Nothobranchius furzeri: one gene and its partner. The protein of the gene in region 2 binds, or shares a complex with, the protein of the main gene of each other region. Links are inferred from orthologs where the notes say so. Each region holds a gene or a part of one and is shown on either strand. Other genes may lie near its edges.

Region 1 (4,298 bases), on a different chromosome or scaffold from region 2:
TTTGCACCGGTTCTGCCTTTGCGTCTTTGCCGGTTCCTTTCCTCCACTGCATCCAGATGACCACGTCGTGCGCCAGTAAAAAGCATTTTTCTTACAAGTAACTTACTTTTGTTCAATAAAGTTCAGGGGAAAATGGTAATTCAAAGATGTTGCACCCGTGTTACATTTACAAATAGACAGACACGCAGACAGTGTTTTTCATCGCACTGTACAGCCCTGCTCTGATATGGAAGAGCCTGGGGGAAAATCAGGACGTCAATAGCACCGACCACAGATATGTAACTAGAGAGAAAAGCAATTTTTGATCTTTGTCTGCTGCGGTTTTAGTGCTTTTTTGTGCACCGCTGCTGATACAGCGCCCCGTAGTGGTGCAATGCTGCAACTGCAGTTAAAATAACATCCATATAGCTGGGGGCAGAGTGAAATCAGGCTGGGGCGGCACAAATTAGCTGGAGGAGGCCACCAGGCAAATTTGAATGCAGGAAAAACCCTGGTACAGCTAGGGACATGAACGTTGCCAACCCACACACATCTTTTCAATTTTGTATTATCAAATGTATTGATATGGGAACATTTATCACGATAAGTCAGAAATTTCGATAACGATACATTTTCGGTTTATTGCCCAGCCCTACACGATATGCCAAAAGGCACAACTAATATGGCTTAAGCAACAAAAGTAGCAGCATCTGACTGAACCTAATCCTTATTTTTGGCTTTTAAATGAAAGAAAAGGTGTGCTGAGGTGAGCTCTGCTGCTCTTTAAGGCAGATGAGCCCCCATAAAGCCACTGAACACTCTGTACCATCAGTCTAAAGCCAACGGCTGACCTTAACTACTTGTTGGCCCAGTGTGAATGAATGTGAATGGCCATAACAGTATCCCTGTTTACGACCGGTTCTGTTGACAGAAAACAGCACGTTTGTTTATAACAGCTGCTGCTCTGCAAATGCTGCTGCTTGTTTTAAGATCCTTTTACGTCACAAACTTAGAAAAATATCATGTATGTGTAAATGACACCATGCAACATTTACTTCTATTAGTATTTTAATCTCAATCAAAGATCATATTGCACTTATAAGCAGTGTTTTATGGCTAAGAAGCTCTGATCTTGTGTAAATACATAAAACATCGACTACAGCTGCCACACTGACAGATGTTAGCACTCATTTTGATGTTTGCCATTTTAAATAAGGCATCTGTTCAAAACATCACTATAAAACATTACATTTGGTATTAATCTATTGTCATTAGTGAACGTTTGACTTCTGTGACCTAACCTAATGATAAGTAAAATTCAACATCGCCTTTTTATACAGTATTACAAAAAGGAGAGTCGACATCCATCAGAGAGAAAATAAATCAATCACCCAACAAGGAGCTTCCTACAGATCAACGGGGAGCAACATTCGACCAAAGCAAAACAGTGAATTCAGTGGCAAACAGATACGTACTGTACACTCTTGCATTTCCTGCTCCTTTGTGGCAAGTCGCATGACCAGGATGTTCTCCCTGCGAGCAGACTCTTGCTGCTGCTGCTTGAGCTTTTCCTCCGACTCCTTCAGTCCTGGAACATCGTTCGCTGAAGGGATGAGATGAAAAAACATCACAGATTAGTCCTCTTCACAGACAGCCAAAGGTTAGGCAATGCACTCATTGTAGCATTTATAGCTGACTGTTGAAACGGCTAAATAAACTAAACTCAACATGATGCTGGATTGCATTTACGAAACTGCACTTACAACACAGCTCTGCATATTTGGCCTCGAGGACCTGCACGTACGTTTCATGCTGTTTCCACCTGAAACGAGAAAAGAAGGTTTAACATTTTTAGATGAACACGTGATTTTACAGCAATCGCAGCGTGAACACCCACCTGGTACACAGCTCTTCTCTAGTCAGGGTCTTCATGTCCGACTCACTCAGGCGAACCTGTGAAAACAGAAAAACTGGTCAATGAGGCCGGCTGCTATTTGGAGACAACCAAAGGCTAAATGAACATAGTTCAAATAGGAGATGAACAGGATCAGACGCTAACCTTCTTGGGTAGAGGTTCCTCGTTGGTCATTTTGAACTCTAGAAGAAAATATGACAAGAAATCATCAGTTACTGCTGCTTAAATTGCAGGTTGAATTAACTGCATCATCTTTTCAGCTAAAGCGTTAGTTCTCCGCACGCAGTCTAGTCACGACTAGCACACAAGCTAAATTACGTGCGTTTTGGTTTCTGAAGAAAGAACACCGCATATTTTATGGCAAAGAGTTGACTCATTGGTCGATAACATAAGATTTAACATAACCAGTTGATAAGCGCTGTACAGCTAAATGTCGGGACATTGTGGCAGCTAGCAGAGCGAAGAAGCTAACCAAGGTGAACTACTGACCACTAATATTTAGCACTCCTTTGCAATGGTAAATTGAACTCATAGTTACAAAGTAACGTTTAAATATAATTTAAATTCAAATGGGTGGCACTTAATTATTTGCTCTGTTTCGGCTCCTTGTTATAACAAAATGGCGGTGAAGGAAACGACTCCCTCCCTTGCGCTCCTTTTCCTGAAACTAGCGGGCTCTTGGCTGCAGTTACCAGGCCTGACGCCACAAAAACACTCACCTGGCCCTGAATCTTCGATGTTTCTCAGAACTGTCGGCTTCAGAAATTCCTTGTGAGGATAACAATCACATAAACGGTCAAATATTCAGAGAAATGACAAGTAACGGTATCGTTTGGGCTTAGTCGCAATCATCTTTCTTTAGCTGACGGCAGTGTGGAATAGCTACGGACGAAAATGCTGCGGAGTAATACCAGAGAGCTAAAAACAGAGAGAAGACGCCTCACTCGTAAAATAATTTCTGAAACTCGAGCAGGGCCACGACACAAGGGATATTTTCAACGTTTTATTTATATAATTTACTATAGTTAATGTTTGATTATGCGTGGTACAACTTTTTAGAGTCAATCGACCAAAATAATTGATAACATCTGTCTAAATAGAATAAATAAATAAACAAAAAATGTTATTTGTTAATTAAGTTAAAATTATTCAAATATAGGTGACCTAGCAGAAACGCATATTTCTAAAATAACTGGTTCAGGCAAAACATGTTTGCTTTGAGTCATTGATTAAATTGGATGAAGACTTTTTTTTAAAAAAAAAAGAACATTTCTAAAGAGTGGGACATCTTAACAAAGTAGACAATCTTCACGTCACGATTAAAAAAGAGGGTCACGTGCCTCGTGGTCTTCTAAACATTTCTTTATTTTGATTACTCTCGTGTTTCAAAATTTCGTTAAACATTTTGACGACACAAATCCAAGTCTTACACTTGTTTACTAATTTATAATAAAAAGAAAAATAACGAGCTAAGGCCCTGAAGACCATGTGCAGCGTAATAGGGAAACGCATTTCAAAAACAAAATGACATGGTTACTCATAAAAAATGCCACAAGTTAAAGGTTTATTGACAAACACGGCAAACCAATGTTTCGACGAAGTCCAACTTTCAGCGTCCGCAACATTACAGAAATCATGCAAACGCTTCCAAACACCCCCATCGTATAATAATGATGGTGCAGTCTGTCAACTTGAAATGGCTCAGTTTCAAGGGCAGTTATTTACTAGCGCGTGCACACGGTTCTGGTTACCTGCTGAGGTCCATTCGAAACATGCTGAGCAGACTTGGGCAAATACGCAGGTAAAACGGATGTTCGCGTAACATTAGGGCATATATAAAGTTGTTGAAAACAGGCAGAGTGAGCTGTTGCGTGCTGTAATCGAGTATGATCTTCAAACATCAGGAGCTAACAGTTTGCTAGCCAGGATGCTAACTTAGTTTAGCAAGCTGTTTACATTAGTTTATGGCGCACCAAATAGTTTAGATTACTTCCGTCATTATTTTATGCCTAGGGTTGAATGCAGTTGCAAACTTAAAGTGTCAAAACGAATGCACAAAATTACACACGAGCCTATGTTAAAAGTACATTTAGTTAATGGTTTCGGCTGTGTAAATCCTGAATAAACACTAAAGTCAGTCGCTTGCAGCCATCTTGAATTGCTGTTTAGTTGTATCCGGTGATTGATGCACAATTGGATCGTGATTTATTACAATTCTCCTCTTTGTTAATTTCAGGTGCGCAGCCAGCCTCAGCCAAAGCATTAACCAGATAGCTGCATCAAGGCAGAAGCACACCCTTCCTGACCTGACCTATGATTATGGAGCCCTGGAGCCTCACATCTGTGCAGAGATAATGCAGCTGCACCACAGCAAACATCATGCTACCTATGTCAATAACCTCAA
Region 2 (4,242 bases):
ATGTGTCTGTTTATTCATATTGCACAGATCTGAGATGATTGTGTAAAATGCATTCGCCGGACCCGCGTGTTTACCTTGTTTACAGTCGCAGTAACCCCAGTCTATTCTGCCTTTGTGGTTCCTAAAGAAGCACCAGGGACGAATCCTGCCGTCCGGGTTGCGGCAGTGGTTGTGTTCTCCTATCCCCCTGCTCGGATAGCGCTCACGGAACCCGGCCACCTCGGTCCAGTTCATACACCGGCTGCCGGACTCGGTGACATCAATAGCTCCCCGGTAGGAGCCGTCTCTCCCCTGGCTCCGGGCGCATTCGGTGGACGAGGGGATGAATGAAGGGACGCTGCTGGAAAAACAGCCGCTTGCGGTCAGAAGAGCGGCTACTGAAGCGAGAAACGTCGCCTTCATGTTCTGCGACCGTGAGCCGCTGATAACGGTGGCAATCCGTTTCACTCATCAGCTGTTTCCAGACATGCAGGCAGCCCCGGCGCTTTTCCCCGGGAGGGGAGAGAACCGAGAAGAAAAACGACGCAGATCGATGAAACTCTTTTTGCGTAGGCTGATGCGCTGGCAGCCCTTCCGAGAGGAGGAAACCAAATTACTGATTGATCCAAGATCCAGCCAAATGTCACGAACTAAAACGAACTCTACGCGGAGCCGTAATAAATATAACAAAAATTCCCCTAAACCAATTTAATATATGTGTTGGCTAATTACATTTTAGATAGACTATATTTCCCATTTCCCCTCAGTCAGGTTAGGAAATTTTGCTTTGAGAAAAAACGTTTGAAATGTTTTTGCACTGCTGTTAAAATGCTAAAAGGAGAAATTAAATTAAAATTAGGCTATTAGTTATCTGTATTGTTATTGTTGTTATTTAATCATTATATGCTTACTGCTAAAATTATTTCAATGCTATATTTTTATGTAGTACGGCTACAAAGCTGTGAATTTGCTTCTTGCACTAATTTCATTGTCCGTAAGCTTTTAAAGCTACTCGACTATTGATACTGTATTTAAATGCCAATAACACATTCCCTTCTTTTTATTGTGGTATCATGAGCTGTGAGAGAACGGGAAACAGTCGAATATAGCTGTTTGTTGGATTGCCTTTTCCAACTGTTCTCTGTGATTGGGTGATAAATTTGCTGACGCCAAACGTATGCGTCGGACAAGGCTCTTTCATCATCATCGAGTGACTGTAGGTTCAAATGCTTGTTAAATCTTGTAAACAGCGTACACCGAACCTTCTCTGGGTAACCGGAGTTATAGCCCTCAAATCGGTTTATTTAATTTTCTTTGTAGAATTTTATACATGTCTTCAAATTACACGTTATTTGAGTGTTTTATATGTAAACTTTGCAGTTTCAATGCATCGCCCTATATTTGTTAAAGACACACATCTACTGTGATTACTTGTACCGGTGTTCATAACGAGCGCACCCATCATCATTTCAGCGGCTATGTCGATTTAGCTAATGTTTAGCTAGGAGCTTGCTGCTTTCAGAAGTGAACGTAATCCGTATTTAGCAACGACCCGACGTTTAATATAAATACAGATCTACTGTCACAGAGGAGAACATGAACAGTAGGCTTCAAGAAATCCGCGAGAAACAAAAACTGAGACGGCAGATCTTGGCTCAACAGGCAAGTACACCATAGTTAACAGTTAGAAAGTGGCTAACCGCTAACGTCGCTTTGGTCATAACGGAGCTGCAGGGTGCTAAATGCTCACCATAACTTCACCGTCCCTAACTTGGCTGATGTATTAAATACTCGCCTTCCACCGAGCTAAAAGAAAACACCTTCATAGCAAATGTAAATAAGTGTAACCCAAGCTAGAGCCGACTTTATTTGTCGAATGAAATGTAGCAGCAATGCAAAAAAGGCGTTCACAAAGTTCCAGTCAAATGTTTGCTGATGTTGGTTTCTCTGTGTGTGTTTCTCTAAATGCGCAGCTGGGAGCTGAGAGCGCAGACAGTATCGGGGCTGTCCTTCACAGCAAAGATGAGCTCAAAGAGATAGAGGAGACAAGAGAAGCAAGCAGGTAAGGGTTGTTCCTCCTCACAGACAGGGCGGGATCGTCTGAGCTAGAAAAGGGCTGCGTTTGAATGAAATACGTAAATGCAACGTGTTTGCAGGCGCGTTGCAAACTTTTCAAAAGTGTGGGGGATGTTGTCTGTGGATGTCATCAGTTGTAAATTGAAACTCAACCTCAATCCAGTAAGGAGTTCGCGCATGATTCACAGTAACATAGTCCTTCCAAAAACATGCTTAATATTCACCAATGTATAAACTGCACACATGCAGAACGGGAAGAACTAATCTTCCAAACAACAGAACCCAAGTTTTCTTCATCAACAACACCCAATTCAACAATAAGCTGTTAAATCAAAAGGACGTAAAAATACACTAAATACACATTTAGAGAAAAACACACAGCAGCGACAATCCAATATCCTATCCACAGAATCCACTGTTTAAATTAAAGCCCAGACTTCTCTTTCCAACAATATTTATGCACTCTACATGCAAAATTCACAGAACCAGCAGCTAACAAACCACAGCTCATTTCATGACGTGAAAAGCGTAAATACAGTCTTACCTTTGTTGATTCATGGTCATAATCCATGTTATGGTAAAAACAATCCAATCCCTTTGTGTAATCCATCTTCACAACATCACACAAAGCTGATTCGTGGCTGTTTTAGCTTGCATCCATCTGATGCCAAATCCCAAAAATCTAGCCTAAAAAATCAAAAGCAAGCGATTCTATTGGCTCAGAGGTTTCCTAACTAACCTGAACGGCTTCAATAATCCAACGGCGGGGTCTGGAGAAACTCCTGAATAAACTGTGGTTCCAGCCCAGTCCACCAGCGCACAGGTGTACTCGGGTAGAGGCGGGGAGGTTTCGACAAACTTTATTTGTCACTGAATGTTAATAAAGCTGATTTTAAAGTTGGACCAAAAAAAAAACCTATTCCGTAGAAGGAGCGTTCAACTATTCCTTTTACAAGTGGCACACTGTGGCATTTGAGACCTCGCTTTAAGTGTGCATATATTATAAACCTCTGAAAATTGTTGTTCTTCACTTTATCAAACTCAGACTTTGTACAGCTAATGTCAAGATGTAAAATTATGAATTCAGTGAAATTTAAAACTACTGATGCATTTTTCAAAAGAGGTATTCATCCTGAAATCAAACATTTCGGGCAAAATAAGCAAAAGAAAAATAATCAACTTTTTTACAATGTTCCTTGTCTATTTACACTTCATCAGCAACACTTATTCTAATATTCACACATCTGAACAAATCCCACAAGAATTCCTTTTATAATGAGACCAAAAGTAATGAAAAAGACCTTGTGGTTACAGGAATATAGCCATTAAAGTGTGGGCATGTTATTTGTTTTTATTTCAACAATGCCATCAAATGGTTTGTGTTACATTGACTTACTGTTTTATAAGAACATATTATGAATGTAACATTAAACACAGTAGTCAAAAGTAGAGAATGGTGGTGGTGATTATGAATATCAGGACACTAATAAACAATATTACAAGACATTAAAAGTCAAATCAGTAACACTTTAGGAAACACAACTTAATCATTAACCAGGGGTTAACTAACATGCAAATGATACAGTCTGATTTATGAATTACTAATGATAACAAATTTGTGAATGACCTGAGTACATTACACATGTCCAAAAATTAAAACTTATTGTGTTATTTCCTCCAGTTTGAACCATAAAATTAGATACAGCTCAAGGTATGACCTATAAAGTACATTCTTTGGATTCAAAACCAAAACAACAGGGGAGGTAAGATTCAGCAAATACTTCGCAGAAGTGAAAACCTGCTTCATATGAACTGTGGTAACTGAGTAGGTGAGATAAAACTGTATTATTTTTAAAAAGCATCTCCACAGCTGTAATCATCACACTGGATGAATCCAAAAGCAAGACATCCAACACTTAACAGCAATTCAAGCTATTTTCAAGAACAATCTGTGTAACATCTTTGAGCTAGACCAGCGGTTCCCAAACTTATTTAGCTGCGCACCCCCCAGCCCCCCACATCCATCTTTTCCCCTATAGACATTTGATTATGCACAAGTAGGTGACCAGTTCAGGTTTACGCAGAGCAGAAGGAAGGAGAGCGCTCTGGCCACAGGTTAAACGTTCCTACTTTAAGAAAACCATTAAATTGCATTGTTGATGTGCTACCTGGGTACTCTAAATATTT

What was found. Proteins that work in one complex are often made in the same cells at the same time.
Region 1: mettl14 (region 2) and wtap share a complex: the UniProt entries of both Homo sapiens proteins name them as parts of the WMM complex. The link is inferred for Nothobranchius furzeri from reciprocal best matches to the Homo sapiens genes METTL14 and WTAP.

What each region holds. Positions count from the first base shown.
Region 1 is NC_091742.1:5,865,037-5,869,334, reverse strand, and holds the start of wtap (pre-mRNA-splicing regulator WTAP), read right to left. Parts: upstream 2,801-4,298; 5' UTR 2,614-2,800; intron 2,077-2,613; 5' UTR 2,069-2,076; coding exon 2,039-2,068; intron 1,933-2,038; coding exon 1,877-1,932; intron 1,802-1,876; coding exon 1,743-1,801; intron 1,583-1,742; coding exon 1,455-1,582; intron 1-1,454. Other genes in the region: sod2 (superoxide dismutase [Mn], mitochondrial), read left to right, coding at 3,565-3,695, 4,131-4,298. UniProt on the Homo sapiens protein: Associated component of the WMM complex, a complex that mediates N6-methyladenosine (m6A) methylation of RNAs, a modification that plays a role in the efficiency of mRNA splicing and RNA processing.
Region 2 is NC_091746.1:78,155,158-78,159,399, forward strand, and holds the start of mettl14 (N(6)-adenosine-methyltransferase non-catalytic subunit METTL14), read left to right. Parts: upstream 1-1,442; 5' UTR 1,443-1,575; coding exon 1,576-1,641; intron 1,642-1,952; coding exon 1,953-2,041; intron 2,042-4,242. Other genes in the region: prss12 (neurotrypsin), read right to left, coding at 75-402. UniProt on the Homo sapiens protein: The METTL3-METTL14 heterodimer forms a N6-methyltransferase complex that methylates adenosine residues at the N(6) position of some mRNAs and regulates the circadian clock, differentiation of embryonic stem cells and cortical neurogenesis.